Coturnix japonica: one gene and its partners. The protein of the gene in region 1 interacts with the protein of each later gene in a biochemical or structural test. Links are inferred from orthologs where the notes say so. Each region holds a gene or a part of one and is shown in the gene's direction. Other genes may lie near its edges. The genes, in order: UBE2E3, RNF14, NEDD4L and RNF25.

Region 1 (4,198 bases):
ATTTTTGATATTGCCACACTTCCCTTTTACTAATTATGCCCAGATTGCTCATCATGCCAGATACTGTTTATGCAAAGAATTTTCTACAGCATACCTCAGGGGCAAATCGCTTGTAGTGGTGATCTGGGAATTCTCTATAGCCCACTTTAACAAACAAACCTCCGGTATTCCTCCCCACCATTTCACTCAGCTCACCCACGGAACCTTCAGCATACTGTTCAGCTGAGCTAATTCCAGCTACCCAGAGAACAGAACCCCCTGACGCACCGTTCAGCTCCTACAGAACGCAACCTGTGGCCTCTCGATCCTGCTAAACTTAAGCAGAGAGGCTTGAAGCCCTTGGACTATTGGCAAGGAAAGCCCTCGAGGTGCACAGTGCTGAGGTGAAGCCCAGCTGCTGGACAGCGGTTTTGCGTCCATTTCTATAACAGAACTCAAACCGCATTGCTCATTTCCCCTCTGCTGGACCCTGTAATCTGCAGCACAGGTACTTATCACAAATAGTTAACGCTTCTTTTACAGGTGGGTTTTATTGCTCCAGGATCACTTTGGAATATTCACATTACTCTAATTGGTGGATGGCTCTTACTGCACACTGACCACAGCTCCTCAGGTGCGGCTGTGATGGGCCTGGGAAGAAATTCAACCACCATCCTACACAGCCACTGATACAGACTACCCCCTTCCCTCTGTGATAACAGTCAGAACTCGGCACGTAGATGCATACGGTGCAACTCCTAATTGTGTTTCTAATTTGGAATAAACCACCATGACCGCACACAGTGCCGGCCATCACTTGGACGCGTGGATCGAGGAGCGGGGCACGAGGCGGCTGTAACACCGCTGTCAGACCCCGCGGGCGGCGGAGCTGCAGCCGGGACGGCCGGCGGAGGGCACCGAAGTGCTGATGATTCTGGCGGTGCCCACACTCAGGAGCTGTGCAGGATCGCGCCGTGCCCCGCCGCGCACAGCAGCCGTCGAGGTCCACCCGCGCGCCGCCGCTTTGTCCTTGCCCGGCCCGGAGCACGCGCGCCCTCGGCCGCGGCGGGAGAGCGCCTGCGCGCACCCCAGCCCGGAGGGGGGCGCGCTCTGCTGGCCGCCAGGCGGGAGCGAGCGCCCCCTCTGCTCTCCCGTCCCCTCCCCCGCTGTCGGCTGCAGCCCGGCACAGCGGCGGCGGCCGGGGGCGGCCGGTCTCCCCCCCCCTCTCCCCAACCCCGGACCTTCTCCCCCGCCCCCGGCGGCGCGCGCCCGCCGCCCCCCGCCCCGGCCCCCCGGCCCGCCGCGGGAGCCCGCGCCGCAGAGCGGGGCCCGCCAGCGCCACCCGCCGGCCGCGGGGCCGCACCGCGCCTCCCCCCGTCCCCCCCTGCTCCGGCTCTCAATGTTCCACACCGCCCGGCCACAGAGCCGCCGCCGCCGCCGTAGAGCCCCCCGGCCGTCTCCGTCCCCTCCTCGGGCGCCGCGGGCCCGGCCCGGCCCCCCGCCATCCCGCCCCTCCGACCCAGCAGCGGGACAGGACGCCGGCGAAGGTAAGCGAGAGGCGGGCGAGGCGGCTGCGGCGGCGGCGGCGGCGGCGGCTGGGCGAGCGCGGTGGGGGGAGGCGGGGAGGAGCGGGGGGGCCGCCGAGGAGCTTTGTTCTTGTTTTCGGCGCTCGCTGCCTGCCGGCGGCCGGGGGCGCGGGGCCGGCCGAGTTCACGCCTCACTTGGTGCACACACACGCGCGGCGCCGAGCGGGGCCGAGCCGAGTGGAGCGGGGCCGGCCGAGCCGAGCCGCCGCCTGCCGCGCCGCGCCGGGCTCACCCCACAAAGCGCGGCCGCCCCCGGCCCCACCGCGGCTCCCGGCCACCGGGCAGCCCCCTCCCCCCGCCGCCACCATGTCGGAGCGGGGCGGGGGGGCGAGAGGGCGACGCGGAAGGTGCGGGCGGCTGCGGGCTGCCTCCCCCCCGGCGGCCCTGCGGGGGCCCAATGCGGATCTGCCGGCGGGCAGTGGGGCTGCCGCTTCCCGAGTTGCTCCCGACGCATCTTCTGCGGGTTCCGCGGGGGTTTTCCTTTAAAAACAAACAACCCGCGTTCTCCCTCCCCCCCCCACCTCCCCCCCCCCCCCCCCCCCCCCCGCCCAGCCCTTTAAATGCACAGAGCAAGTGTATGCTTCGGTCTGATAGCAGCCCGAGTCTCATTGGCAATGGAGCTCCTCCGAGAGAGGGGTTGAGGGGGGATCAGGCGTTTGGACCCAATAAAACGCTCCGTTCCAGTGTAAATATTTACAGGGTATCGGTGACTCCTTAAAAAACATTCCCAGGGAGGTCTGTTATTTACAATGTGTCATAAGTTATTAATGTGCGTTTCCTAAGTGCCCTGCTCAATCTGTCTGTGCCTCAGAACCAAGCCGACAATTGGCATATTGTTTGAAGCATGACAAAAATGCGAGTGGGTTTAAAAATGGGAAATGCCGGTGTTTTCCGAAGTGTAAATGTTGTGGTGTGGCTGTCAAGTTGCAGCCCTGGCGGATGAGACAAAGAAGAGGATCCTGGTGGGTTTCTCCATGAAATAGAGTTATCGACAACCAAAGTGTTCTTCAGAGCTCAGGACGGCGAGGGGTGACCTGCGTGCTGTAGTAACTGCCTCTTCTCCTCCTTCCCCACAAGTTCCCCACGATGTCCAGTGACAGGCAGAGGTCAGATGATGAGAGCCCCAGTACCAGCAGCGGCAGCTCAGATGCTGACCAGAGGGACCCCCCGGCACCTGAACCTGAGGAGCAGGAGGAAAGGAAACCCTCTGCCACCCAACAGAAGAAGAACACCAAACTCTCCAGCAAAACTACTGCTAAGCTATCTACTAGTGCTAAAAGGTACTTGTGGCATCCAGCGTCCTGTAGCGGTTTTGCACGGTGTGTGGACTCGCAGTGTTGCACTGCACTTCCCAAGGCAGAGGGATTGCTTTAAAGCCACGTGGGAAATAGCACAGTACAAAATTCTGTAGCATGCTGGTCTGCTGGGAAGGACCTTCACCAGTCCAAATCCTCTGGGGCACTAATACGCGGGCTGGCCGTGTTTCTTTGGAGTTGTTGGAAAACTTGCTAACTCTCAGGCTGGTCATGGGGCACCTGTGTGCCTCTCATATTTGTTAAAATGAGTGAGAAAGCATAAGCTTCAGGTGTCTGGTTTGCAGAGACAGGTTTACATACCTTGTTGGTATAGGGTGGATCTTTCTGGTGTATTTCAGTGCAGGCTGCAGTGCAATGACAGTACTCTTTAATTACAGAAGTCACAAAAGCCTCGTGGATTCTGAAGGCCTTATGATTGCAGTAGAGCCCTGTGCACCTTAAAGTCACTGTTCTGTCCTGCAGTGCTTTCTGGAGAAAGTCAGGCAAATGGTCTCTTGTGGGATCCATGGATTCCAACCATAGGGTTCTTCAAGTGTAGCCTCTAAGTATCAGAATCTCAGGAAACCTTGTCTAGTTTTATCTGCTGCGTTTTTGTTTACACACAAGGTTACTGGCAGTCCAGCTCTCAAGACATGCGTGCTAATTATTTTCTGTAAGTTCAGCTGTGTGAAATAAAGCAAACTTTAATTCCCTCAATCCCAGTTGTCTTCTGAGATGAAACACAACTTTCAGTCTTTTCCCTGGAGTTCCCTTTCTTTACAAACATTTACAAATACACTGTGCGAAAGCCACATTAGCCTCGAGTTTTGCTTATCCAGCCCAAATACAGTAGCTCAGACTTTGAGGAACGTTGTAGTAACTTTGCACTGTACTTAAACTCAGTAAATACATTTTGCAGTGTCTCAGAATTATTGCAGAATGTGACTGGGTGACTGATGACTTCTGAGTTTGTTAAAGAAACCCTTTGGAATAGGACTTGGCTGCAGAAGGAAAAGTTCTGGAAACAGTGTAGACTTTGTAATTTATTGTTAGGCTTTGTGTTCTTTTTAGTGCCTGAGGTACATCATGTAGAGGCTCACAGCTGAGTTTTCTCCTCTTACCTTTGTTTTGGTTAATCCAGTAGTTCAGTAGCATGGTTGGGCTTAATAGAAATGGTGCATGGGCTTTTGGGGCAGTCCCTGTCAGCTCATGTTCTACACTTGCTATGCACATAAAAAAGCAGTCTTGCTCGCGTGGGTTTTGTTGTGCAGTTTTGTTTGTTTGTTTGATTTGACATTTAAAAGAGGAAATTGCCTTGAATCTTTAAAAGTTACACCT
Region 2 (4,175 bases), on another chromosome or scaffold:
TCTGATATTGTTACTGCACCTGCAGAAGCAGCCACGAGCTGTCTCCATGTTAAAGCATGTTCATGCTGAGTCAGTCTTGTTTTGAGAAGGGAGACTGCAAACGCTGTAGTCCAGTTTTCCATGCTGTTCACAGCAGTGCTCATCAGGAAATGCCACTAATGGTAGGATGGTGAGACAGGGATGGGGAGGGAGGCTGCTCCTCAGGGCCTGCAGCATCCTCTATCTGCTTACCTTAGTCTAGCCTGCATTTAAGCATTAACACACCTCTAGGTTTATCTTTACCTGCACCTGAACAGCTCATACTGCCACGAGGTTAGTGGTTAGTGTTCCCATTACCTTTATTCCTTAGTGGGCATCATCACATCACTGATAGCCCCAAATCAGGTTCATTTACCTGCTCTGTAGAATAGCAGCTGTACGCTCCTAACAGCTCAGCCATGGATGTGCTCTAACCATGAAGTAGACGCCCAGGTTAGTTACATGAGCGCTGCCTGCAGCTCGGGGGGTGCTCATAGAAGGAGGGCTGTGTTTCAGCTGCCCGCACTGAGCGCTGACTGATGCCTTCCCAACTCCTTGCAGGGCTGTGCTTGCTGCCATGAGGCCTTCATTTGGAATGCTTGGTTTTCTTCTTTTCCAGGAACAAAGCGTTTTCATTTTCTATGAGTTTTCTGCAGTAATTTGCTTCTAGTACTGATTGTCATTAAACTTGCAAACATGAATTTGTATGTGTTAAAGCTGACGTTGAAACACAGTTCAGCTGTTGGAAGAAATAAATGCACTGGATTCTACTGGATGACTCTGACTGTCTGAAGCCGTTGATTGTGAGGAGAAGTAATGATGGTGTCGGGGGGTGTGAGCGCGGTCTCCTTATTGCCGCTGTTCCAGGAGGCGGGGATGGGTTACGGGTGTGTTATTGGGGTGGGCTACGGGTGTGTTATTGGGGTGGGTTACGGTGTGTTATTGGGGTGGGTTACGGTGCGTTATTGGGGTGGGTTACGGTGCGTTATTGGGGTGGGTTACGGTGTGTTATTGGGGTGGGAGTGGAGCTGAGCTCCGGCTGCAGCTGTTGGTTCGGGCGGAGCTGATGGCGGGGCAGCACAGCTGCACCTGGCGCTGTTTTGCAGCTGTTGTCGTGGCTCCCGTCCATGCGGGGCAGCTCCTGCCGCCTTCCCCGGCCGCGTGCGCTCAGTGACCGCATGGTGCGGGGCGGTACCGGCCCCGCCGAGGGACCCCGCGTTCCTCCCGGCCGCAGGGGGCGCTGTGGGGACGCGGAGCGGGGCGGGCGGAGCCGGGCGCTCTGCGCTGTCAGCAGCGCGGCGGGGCCGGGCCGGGTCGGGGCCTCCGCCCTCAGCCGCTCCTTCCCGGTCCGTCCTTCCCGTCCGCCGCGGTGCCGGCAGCGCCACGTTCCGCGTCCGCCGGGCCGCCACGAGACTGAGGTAACGGGGGGAGCCGTGCCGGAAGAGCGGGCCGTGCCGTGCCGTACTGTGCTGTGCTGTGCTGTGCCGTGCTGTGCTGTAATGTGCCGAGCCGTACTGTGCCGTACTGTGCCGAGCCGTACTGTGCCGTGCCGTGCCGGCTTCGCCGGGACCCGGGTGCTGCGGGCGCCCCGTGCGGCCTCGGCTCCGCCTGGCGCCGTCACTGCGGCCTCGTATCCCGGCCGTGCCGTGCGGAGCGTGTCCGGGCGGCTTCTCTTCCCGGCTGCCTTCGGTTCCGTTCCTGCTCGGTGCGGGCGGTGCCGATCGGACCCGCCCGGGTGCGGCGTGTGTCTGTGCTGAGGGGACTTTGACCCTCCGCTCCGTGCCCGCTCGCTGACAGTGCGCTCCGTGTATTTGTGCGTGCCGCGCTCCGGGCTGGGGACGGATCCGCAGCTGTGCGGGGAATTGCGGCGCCTCCTGCCGGACGCAGCGCGGCTCGGAGCTTCCAGCTGAGACCTGCGGCGCTTCTCTCATCGCTTTATAGAGCGCTGCTCCAGCCGTTCTGTCACTAACTCGGTTCCGTTCTCTTCCGCTCCGTTCTCCCTTCCAGACGCCGTGCCATGTCCCGCTGCCGCTTTCCTTTATCTCTCTGCTGTTCCCGCAGCTGCTCTCGGCCGCTGGGCACCGTTTGCTTTTTGCCTCCTCCACGTTCTGTGGGTGTTCCCCATGGTGTAAATAAAGCTCCCAGCACTTCTCAACTCGGAGACAAAGCCTGACTCTGTCCTATGCTCCCACTGCTTACTTTGGGTCCTGACTCTTCCTGTGGAGGTGTAAAACAGACCCAGACGTGTAGTTTGGATGGGACGCGTTAACTCGGTTGATGCTGTAGAGTGGTGTTAATTCCACAGACCATTTAAATGTCTTCAGAGGACAGAGAAGCTCAGGAGGACGAGCTGTTGGCGCTGGCCAGCATCTACGATGAAGATGAGTTTAAGAGAGCGGAGTCGGCACAGGGAGGAGAGACCAGGATTTGTTTGGAACTGCCCCAGAACTTCAGAGTTGTTGTGAGCGGTGAGTTGTGATGGCTGCTCTTGTCTTTACGTTCACTTTGACCAGGTGATTTTCTGGGGCCTCCCCAGCTGCTCCCATGAGCTGTAGGGATATTTACCTGACGGAGCCGTGTGGGACCCCTCCTTGTGTCCATCGCTGGGGTTGGTGTCGGGGAGGGCACTCAGCCTTTTGGATGCAGCCTCTCCATAGAGCTTCAAAGTCAGAGCTCAGTCATGGTGTTTCTTTGGGGTAATCAAGTCAATATATTTATTATTCCCCTGGGGGTGTTTTCCTTGCACTTGGCTCCTGCAGGATCTGCTATTTCACAGCACTGCTGTGTATTGGTTTAACCCCATACAACCTCATGGCACTTTACTGCACCATTATTTGGTGTTGAATGAATCACTTTAAACTGAGAAGTCTATCAAACATACAGAGGGGTCGCGTGTGCCGTCCTTTGGTTCTCACCTCTTTGTGATGTCTCACCCTGTCTCCATTGGCTCAGGCATTTCTGCAGAGAGTCCGCAGAGCTTTGAATACACCGTTCACTTTCTGCCTCCACTCGTGCTGAATTTTGAGCTCCCACCAGACTACCCGTCATCCTCCCCGCCTGCCTTCACTCTCAGCAGCAAATGGCTCTCCCCAGCACAGGTTTGCAGATCAGTTCTAACATTATAGCAGAGCTTTTGTGGTCATGAGTGTATAATTAACACCATTAGCTGTGGTGGATGTCAGTATAGTAGATGCAGTTATGATGTACGTGGTGACGTCTCTTTTTCTTGGCTCTTTTGTTTCCTAGCTGTTCTTACTTGGTTACCCTTCTGACAGTTCAGTGTGTGCCTTACGAGGCGCTATTTCTATGTCTTTTATGTATTACCCATCAGTTCCACAATTTGAGGTGTAGGTTTGCACCATGGGAGCTGTCACGAGTCCCCAGGACTCACTGAAGTCTGCACTGGTTTCTCTTTCCCAGCTCAGCGCTCTTTGTGAGCATTTAGACAACTTATGGGAAGAAAACCGAGGCTGTGTGGTCCTGTTTGCCTGGATGCAGTTTCTGAAGGAAGAAACGTTGAATTACCTGAATATTTCATCCCCATACGAGCTCAAAATGCGCCAACAAGGGAGTACATGGGGCAGGACGCCTTCGGTGCCTCAGGATGCCAAGGACTGTGTTGGTGCAGTGGGCTGTGCTGCGGCTGAAGAAGGAATTGATAAGAGAGCTGTACAGGACGTGGAATCTTTGTCCAGCCTGATTCGGGAGATCCTGGACTTTGATCAGGCTCAGAGAAGGAAGTGCTTTAACAGTAAGATGTACATGTGCAATATTTGCTTCTGTGAGAAGCTGGGCAGTGAATGTATGTACTTCACCGAGTGCAGCCATGTGTACTGCAAAGCCTGCCTGAAGGACTACTTTGAAATTCAGATCAGGGATGGGCAGGTCCACTGCCTCAACTGTCCAGAACCCAACTGTTCTTCTGTTGCTACTCCTGGTCAGGTAAGGGCTGTGCTGAACCCAGTCTGGGTTATCATGGCGAATACACACAGGGAAATTCTTTCTCTGAGCCACACAGATTCCTCCAGGTTATAACTGGATTATCAGGTACATATTTTGCCTGCTGGCAAAATGGTGGCACTGAACTGATGTCCTGTTATATTTGGTGCTGCGTGTTTGTTCATCCTGTTATTTAACTGTCATCAAAATAGCATTTC
Region 3 (3,559 bases), on another chromosome or scaffold:
AAAATGGGAGGATGTTTTTTCTTCGCCCAGTTTTACCTACTGTTTTGCAATAGAAGTTGGAAAATAATTTATTCTTAAGAGTGACCGTAGAATAATTTCTCCCTAATTATGTCACCCTTAAACATGAAATATTTTGATGTCTCATTAGCTATTGATGTGTGATATTTTTCTAGTACTGCTTGTAAAATACCTCTCATGGGTGGTGGATTTCATGAGGAATGTGTCCTGAAATAATGCCCTGTTTTATTCTATTTTTTTCTTTAAAATACAGACGTATCAAGTCGACCTGAAGCCAAATGGGTCAGAAATCATGGTAACAAATGAGAACAAAAGGGAATACATTGAGTACGTATATATTTGTAGAGTTCACCCTGAGCTTCACAACACACAGTGGTAATGCTTTGGAATTTACCCCACCGCAGTTATTGTAACACAGAGATTGTCAGACATCCTTTCAAAAGAAAATCCCTGTGTTAACATGGTTTGTTTGTTTACACTGCATTCCTAGAAAGTTTGGATTTTAACCTTTGCTGTTCGATGAACTACTGTAATTATGGCAGCCTATGTCATGTAGTAGGAAACAGTATTGATGCGCTGGCATAAGGAGCATTCAAGGAGGTATGGAATTGCCCTGAATGACTGCAGACACCAGTCTAAGTTACTCATTCTGAGCACCCTCCAAAACTGATGAAAAAAAATGGCCTTTCATGGGTACAAGAACTACAGTGTTACAGCAGGATATGAATCTGGCCCAATTTCATGCCTCACTTTGTGCACTGGCGGCCTCTGCTTTGTAGGTCTCCTAAGTGGTGAATTTCCACCCTGGGCTGCAGTTTTTCCTGCTGAAGTGCTATCATGGAATGCAAATGAAGAATAAGTGCAGAACAGAACAGTAAACTAACAAGAGAAAAGAGTGAAAATAGGACGTCACGTTGCTGAGGTCACATTTGCTTTCCCTTCAGTTTTTATTCAAGGAAGGGTTCAGGAACTCTGCACGTGTTTAAGTACTCCTTTAAGAGGATTACTGTGTACTCATTTCCAAACATTTGATGCAGTTTAATTTTTTCCAATGCTTTTCCCAAGAGTTATGTTATGATTAAGGAGTTCTAGTTGGTGCACAAGGAAAGAAAAAGAAGAGAAAAAGAGAAAAGGAGAGAAACTGCAGTTGTAGTTACAAATCTGCTTAGAGCTCTAGAATAATAGGAAAAGTCTCATCGTTTAGATACTTATTTCAAACAGTAAGTACATTACCTGGGGTCTAGACTACAATCTTGCTTAGAATAGAACATAGTAATGAATTTGTAGGCTGTATAATTTAATAAAAAGCAACTCAGTATCTCAAACATAAGAATATGACTGAGAGGTTCCTAAAGTTGTAAATGAGAAGCTGATATTGTTAGGGTTGCAAATTAGTCTTCTAATGAATGTGTTTATGTTTGTTATCTCCCACAGCCTGGTCATCCAGTGGAGGTTTGTAAACAGAGTTCAAAAACAAATGAATGCTTTTTTGGAGGTAAGGTTCTCCTTTTTGTCCTTTTCTTTACCCAAATTATGTAGGCATACAGCAGTGCCTGGTTACGGGAGTGGGAAGCTGTGCATGACCACACAGGTTCTGTTACTCATAAGATCATTCTCATTCAAGTTGACATTATTTGAGCTCGAAATAGCAGTTTTTAAATTAGAGACTCAATACTTCAGGAACTGTATATTTCATTTTCCAAACCCTTCTTTGCCCTCCATCACTTAGCTAACAGCTTTCCCTGAAGGCAAAGGTTCTATCAGAAGAAAAAAAAAACCACGTAATTACACATAGTTTACTGATTTTACTTTTTCTCCTAGGGATTCACAGAGCTTCTTCCTATCGATCTGATTAAAATTTTTGATGAAAATGAACTAGAGGTGAGTTTGCTTGATGTCGAGAGATGACAGATTGGTAATGCCCATTGCAGAGATGCATTATGTTCTCAATTCATTAGGTCATCATGGAGTTTGGAGAAAAAGGTTCTTTGTTTTAGTGGGAAATGAGGATTTTTTTTGCCCAGAATAATAAATCTCTCAATCAAGTAAAAGTACAAAAAGTATCAGTTACTCACTGAGGTGGTTTAGTACATGCATACATAAAGAATGCAAGTAGTTTGCTGAGTTAATGACATATACTGGCCATGTTTTCAGCAAATGTGCTGTAAAAGATGCCATCACATGAAGCATACATACTTCATATTGCATAGTGTTTCTCCAGTAAAGTGGGGTTATCCTTGAGAATTGTCCTGAAGAGAAGCTCAGTGCCACTTTATGTCTGTATTTGTATTTGTACAGCATTAACTGTTTGAGAGACCAGGCAACAGAGGGAGAGGTGGTTTATCTGATGAAGCCTTCAGGGTGATACTGGTACTATCTTTGATTAACATCATTGTTTCCATATCTAGTTACTGATGTGTGGCCTTGGTGATGTCGATGTTAATGACTGGAGACAGCACACGATCTACAAAAATGGCTACTGCCCAAATCATCCCGTCATCCAGTGGTTCTGGAAGGTAACACCCTTATCATGTTTGGTTTCTCTGACGATTCCTAGAAGTCAAAGATCCTTTAGTGTGCAGTGAAGTCAGTTATTGAATCATTTTTCTTCTCAAAAACTACGGAAAAATACTTTGGTATATTCTGGAAATGGCAGTTCCATTACTGGAGTCTGTATCGGAATGACCCAGACTGACAAAGTCTCTCCAGTTTTATTGAAGTGGTTTGCAATCTTTCTGAAGTGCATTACTTCTATGAAAAGTGTATGTTTGCAGGAGAACTAGGAGAACAGTTTTCCCTGTACTAGCCCAGAAGTCTTGTGAGTGAGTCACCTCATACAGATGAATGGCAGTTGTAGCTCCTGGCTGTTGCCCAGACATTGTCACTTTCTTTGTTAGAAGGGAATTGTTTAACCAGAGAAAATGTGGCAGGCCATCCTTCAAAGTTAGATATCCATTTCTTACCACGTAATACAAATAAATTCTGTTTTGCTTATTTTAACAAAGATATCTTTAGCCATGAAAAGTCACCCTGTCTGCTTCTCAACAGGCTGTTTTACTGATGGATGCAGAAAAACGCATTCGCTTACTGCAGTTTGTTACTGGCACATCGCGAGTGCCTATGAACGGATTTGCTGAACTTTACGGTGAGCTTCCTGCCCTCTGCCCACAGAACACACACTGCAGGTGGCGAGCACAAACACCACTGAAGTACAGGCATGGCCAACATTTATTCCCAGATAGAGCTTCTCCCACTGGATGCCAACAGCACTGTAGAAACTGGGGGGCGCTTGGAAGAGAAACAAAGTTCTGTTCATGGAATCATAGAATCGTTTGAGTTGGAAGGAACCTTTAAAGGTCATCTAGTCCAACTGCCCTGCAATGAAGAGGGACTCATATAGCTAGATCAGGTTGCTCTGAGCCCTGTCCAGCCTGACCTTGTATGTCACCAAATATGGGAAATTCACCACATCTCTGGGCAGCCTGTGCTAGTGCTTCATCACAGAATGGCCCCAATTGGAGGGGACCTCAAGGATCACAAA
Region 4 (4,211 bases), about 11 Mb from region 1:
ACCAGGGAGCAATCTCTAAGAGACGCTGCCTTAGTGGTGGTCAGCCCTTAAATGAGGTCTAGAGGAGGTGGAGTCAAGCTTCACCCCTTCTGGGAGCACAGCTAAATTACTCTCAACTGTGCTCCCACACCTGACCCGACACTTGGCTCAGCTGATTAATCAGAGGTTCAGGCTGTGATTACCAATGTCCCATATAAACACGCAGCAGAAGTCAGGGAAGTGTAAAGGAACAGGATAAGCATATAATGGTATTTCTGAGCCCAGTGGTAGAATCACTCCCTTGAGCATATTTTTTATCTACTGCCCAATTACTGGAGGGCTCAGACAAATATCAATCATTAGGCCGGGTCACAATCCTAAGTCTATTCCCTCATAAGGTCTCTCCGTGTCCATAGAGCAGGAGTTCCCAATTAAACCACCTGAGGGAGTAGAATACCTGGTGGCAGGTCTGCAGCACTCAACAAGAGTGGAGATACAGCTGGGCACTGAAAAAACCTGGTTAGATAGAAATGCTGCTAGAGCCCTGGAATATTGTCACCAGCATCTCCTGAGGCAGAGGTGACAGCAGATGACAGCCCACGCCCCCACCCCACCAAGCAAAAGTACCTGCCCTGCACGGGTCCCATTACCTCTTTATCAGTCTCAAAGCTGTCGAGCATCTGGATGATGTTAGGATGACGGAGACCTCTCATAATCTCAATTTCCCGCTGCAGATTCTTCAGCTCCTTCTCAGACCGCCCCACCTTGGGGATGAATTTCAGAGCCACCACCTTCCAAAGCAAAGCTGGGATCAGAGCAGTGTCCTGCCCGCGTTGGCAGGGGCTGCATTTAACCCAAGCGGGACTCATTATTTTCTAGGTGAACACACAGAACAAGACACGTTCATAGGGCCGGAGCAAGGAGTATAAGTACTCAGTACTCAGTACCTGAGCTGTGTGAGCAGGACTACAGGCTGTCTTCTAAAGGAAGAGATTATTGCCCTTTTCTTATTACTTTTAGGCTACAGTGGCCATTTTTTGGTCCAGAAGTGCACTGACAAACAGGAGCGGTCCTAGCTGGGGCACCAGGGTAGCAAGGTGGCTGATAACAGGGCATACAAGCTGAAACTGGGGGGGCTGAGCTTTATTAACCCGGTGTCTGGCAGGAGGCTTCTAAGATAGAGCCGGGCTCTTTATAGAGACCCATCTCTCTCCTCACCTGGGCGCTGCACCTCCGCCGCCCCTTGTACACCCGTCCGAAGGAGCCTTCTCCGATCACCTCCAGCACATGGTACCTCTCCATGGCGGAGCTCCGGGGTCGGGCCGAGGTTCCTCACAACACGGACCGACGATTTAAGGCCGCAGTATAACGCTGTTACAGGCCGTGGGGCCGCAGTACAACGCGGTTACAGGCCGCGCCGCCACATCGCCTAGCAACAGCTGAGGCCTTCCGCATCCGGGTCGGCCGTGAAGATGGCGGCGGCCGGCGAGGAGGCGGAGGCGGCGGACTGGTAATGGATCCCCCTGTCCCTCCCTGCCTTTCCCCGGGGCTGCTGCTTGTGGCTTCCTGACCGCTCGGTGCTCCGCAGGGCGCTGCCGGCCGAGGTGGAGGTGCTGGAGTCCATCTACCTGGAGGAGCTGCGGGTGGTGCGGGGCAGCGCGAGGTACGTACCGGGCCTCGCTCCCCGGCCCTGCTCCCGGCCGCCCCTTATCTCTTATCTCTGCCCGCCCTTAGGGCCGAGCCCTGGGAGCTGAGCATCACCCTGCACCCCGCCACGGCCCAGGACCAGGACTCCCAGTTCGTTCGCTGCACGCTGGTGCTGGCCGTGCCCCCCCAGGTAGGCTCCCATCCCGACCGGGCCCCTTGCTGCCCCTTATCTCTGCTTTTCTCGGTGCGTTTGGGGTTTTGTTGCTTGGTTTTGTTTTCTAGTATCCCAACGAGGCTCCGGACATCTCCATCAGCAACCCACGGGGGCTGTCGGATGAGCAGATCCAGAAGTGAGTGGGCAACCTGGTCTAGTAAATGTGTATGTTTGGTGGCCCTGCCAGGCAGGGGGGTTGGAACTACATGATCCTTGAGGTCCCTTCCAACCCGGGTCATTCTGTGATTGTGTGTGAGTGCTAAGAGGGAGGAGAGCAGAGTGGTGGTGTTAACAGTGCTGTAGAGCCTTCTCTTTATGCCTCTAGGGTGCCCTGTCAGCTTAACACATACATACAGCTCTCCAATCACCTTGAGTTAAGCTTTATGTCAGCTTTGATGCTGAGGAATGGTTTGTTCCCTTGTGGTCCACCTGAAACGTAAACTGAAGTCTCTCAGGCCTTCAGAGATGTTGATCCAGGTCTGACAGAGACATCACTGCAACTCATTTCAGTCTTCACACAGCCTGCTGCTGCCTTTGTGCTCCCGTTGTTGGTGCAGCAGAGATCCAGATACCAGTCAATGCACGGCATTAAAGTTGCTCCCACCAGATCAACAAAACCTTAGAGCACGGGAATATGTGCTTGCATCCGCGCTCATCCTACACTGTAGGCAAAGCCTGGTGGATGGCGTTCTTTTTATTTCTCTTGTTATCATGGTGGGGTGATGACAGGCGTGTGGAAGAGTGAAAAGGTGTGGCAAAGTTTGTGTTAAGTATTTGTGCTGCTTTGCTGTAGGATTTTACAGACCCTCAGAAATGTTGCTGAAGCCAGGCTGGGGACAGAGGTGCTGTATGAGCTGATTGAGGTGAGAGCTGGGGAGAAGGGAGGCAGCCAGATACGCACACCATTCTTTGACTCCCTTTGAGGTGGGAGAGCCCTGAGTCTGGGCCCATGTGGAGGCCAGTGAGAAAAATGCTTGCTTTTCTGCTTTGACAGAAGGGGAAGGAGATTCTCACTGACAACAATATTCCTCATGGCCAGTGTGTGATCTGCCTCTATGGATTCCAGGTAGGAATACATATTCCAGCTCTTCGTGCTGGCTGAGAAGTGAGTCAGATGAAGCCCAGTGGGAGAAGCTATGTATTTCTGCCATCAATAACATCCCTGCTGACATGGGAATGAAAACCCACCTCAGCTCGGTGCTGGGAACACCCTGTGAACACCCTTTTTCCTCCACAGGAGAGAGAAGCCTTCACAAAGACCCAGTGCTACCACTACTTTCACTCACACTGCCTGGCCCGCTATGCACAGCACATGGAGGAGGAGATTCTTATGCAGCAGGAGGAGAGAGAACAGCACCTGGCACCTTCCCCCAAACAGGTATTTGGCTTTGATCCCCTGCACAGGCCCTCATGAGTTCTCTGTCACTCCCTGTGGGATGTGGAACAAAGGCCAGCCTGACTCAGCAGCCATGTGCAGCATGGTTAGCATGGTGCCTGTGTTGAGAGAATCAGTGGAGATTGGACCAAATGAGCCCCAGGAGCCCTTTCCAATCATAATTAGAAACTGGAATCCCCCTGGGCCTCCCTGCCTTAGTAGAAAAGTGCTTGTGTTTAGCTGAAGTAGGCTGCCCTGTTTGTTTCACTTCCACCCTGGGGATTCTCTCGATGTATATGGGCTGGGCTGCTGCCTAGGGTTTCACCTCTCACCTCCCTGCAGAAAGTCGGCGTGCAGTGCCCTGTCTGCCGGGAAACCTTGATTTATGACCTCTGTGCCCTGAAGGCAGCGCCACCACCACAGCACCCACTGGTAAGAGATGGGGATTCATCTGCCTGGCTGTGTCCACTCTCTGGGTAGCTAAAATGTCATCTGGGACATTTTATCCATGAACAAACAGTGTCTGCTGGAGCTGATTAATGTGCTCTGCCAGTTACTCTCGGAAAACACACAAACATACAAATTCCATCTTGTGCTCTGTTCAGAGGGGGGACCACTGCAGCCCTTCTGTGTGATAAAGGCAGAGGGAAGCAAAAGATATGTAGCTGTTGCATATGGAGGCAGTGAGGATATGTAGTGTTGTTGGCTTACTCTCCAAAGCAAGCAGATATGGTGGGAGAGAGAGGCAATTCTGCCATCAAGTACTGAGTGCTTGATTTTCTATGTTCTCTCTGCTCTAAGAGAATAACTGTAGGTTTTCTTAAATATGTCCCTGTACCCACTGAGATGTTATCAGTTTCAGGTGAGTGACTCCAGCTTGTGTGGTGAGTTCTGGGGTTCTTCGTTTTTAGCTGCTCTGCATCTTGCTCCAAAGCAGGAGGCCCTAAGTCAGGGAATAGTGGGTGTTCCCTCTCTCTGTGTAAGTACTACACGTGA

The links.
Region 2: the proteins of UBE2E3 (region 1) and RNF14 form a complex in vitro, tested with the Homo sapiens proteins (2 studies listed by BioGRID). The link is inferred for Coturnix japonica from reciprocal best matches to the Homo sapiens genes UBE2E3 and RNF14.
Region 3: the proteins of UBE2E3 (region 1) and NEDD4L form a complex in vitro, tested with the Homo sapiens proteins (3 studies listed by BioGRID). The link is inferred for Coturnix japonica from reciprocal best matches to the Homo sapiens genes UBE2E3 and NEDD4L.
Region 4: the proteins of UBE2E3 (region 1) and RNF25 form a complex in vitro, tested with the Homo sapiens proteins (2 studies listed by BioGRID, with this or other methods). The link is inferred for Coturnix japonica from reciprocal best matches to the Homo sapiens genes UBE2E3 and RNF25.

What each region holds. Positions count from the first base shown.
Region 1 is NC_029522.1:12,888,594-12,892,791, reverse strand, and holds the start of UBE2E3 (ubiquitin-conjugating enzyme E2 E3), read left to right. Parts: upstream 1-1,353; 5' UTR 1,354-1,526; intron 1,527-2,642; 5' UTR 2,643-2,651; coding exon 2,652-2,845; intron 2,846-4,198. UniProt on the Homo sapiens protein: Accepts ubiquitin from the E1 complex and catalyzes its covalent attachment to other proteins. In vitro catalyzes 'Lys-11'- and 'Lys-48'-, as well as 'Lys-63'-linked polyubiquitination.
Region 2 is NC_029528.1:1,070,899-1,075,073, reverse strand, and holds the start of RNF14 (E3 ubiquitin-protein ligase RNF14), read left to right. Parts: upstream 1-1,321; 5' UTR 1,322-1,436; intron 1,437-2,189; exon of another isoform or gene 2,190-2,323; 5' UTR 2,324-2,332; coding exon 2,333-2,486; intron 2,487-2,970; coding exon 2,971-3,116; intron 3,117-3,438; coding exon 3,439-3,960; intron 3,961-4,175. UniProt on the Homo sapiens protein: E3 ubiquitin-protein ligase that plays a key role in the RNF14-RNF25 translation quality control pathway, a pathway that takes place when a ribosome has stalled during translation, and which promotes ubiquitination and degradation of translation factors on stalled ribosomes.
Region 3 is NC_029547.1:653,686-657,244, forward strand, and holds part of NEDD4L (E3 ubiquitin-protein ligase NEDD4-like), read left to right. Parts: intron 1-271; coding exon 272-345; intron 346-1,452; coding exon 1,453-1,513; intron 1,514-1,839; coding exon 1,840-1,899; intron 1,900-2,426; coding exon 2,427-2,534; intron 2,535-3,066; coding exon 3,067-3,163; intron 3,164-3,559. UniProt on the Homo sapiens protein: E3 ubiquitin-protein ligase that mediates the polyubiquitination of lysine and cysteine residues on target proteins and is thereby implicated in the regulation of various signaling pathways including autophagy, innate immunity or DNA repair.
Region 4 is NC_029522.1:24,278,160-24,282,370, reverse strand, and holds the start of RNF25 (E3 ubiquitin-protein ligase RNF25), read left to right. Parts: upstream 1-1,396; 5' UTR 1,397-1,451; coding exon 1,452-1,489; intron 1,490-1,567; coding exon 1,568-1,642; intron 1,643-1,713; coding exon 1,714-1,816; intron 1,817-1,908; coding exon 1,909-1,976; intron 1,977-2,633; coding exon 2,634-2,703; intron 2,704-2,834; coding exon 2,835-2,906; intron 2,907-3,077; coding exon 3,078-3,218; intron 3,219-3,557; coding exon 3,558-3,647; intron 3,648-4,071; coding exon 4,072-4,077; intron 4,078-4,211. Other genes in the region: STK36 (serine/threonine-protein kinase 36), read right to left, coding at 630-770, 1,198-1,281. UniProt on the Homo sapiens protein: E3 ubiquitin-protein ligase that plays a key role in the RNF14-RNF25 translation quality control pathway, a pathway that takes place when a ribosome has stalled during translation, and which promotes ubiquitination and degradation of translation factors on stalled ribosomes.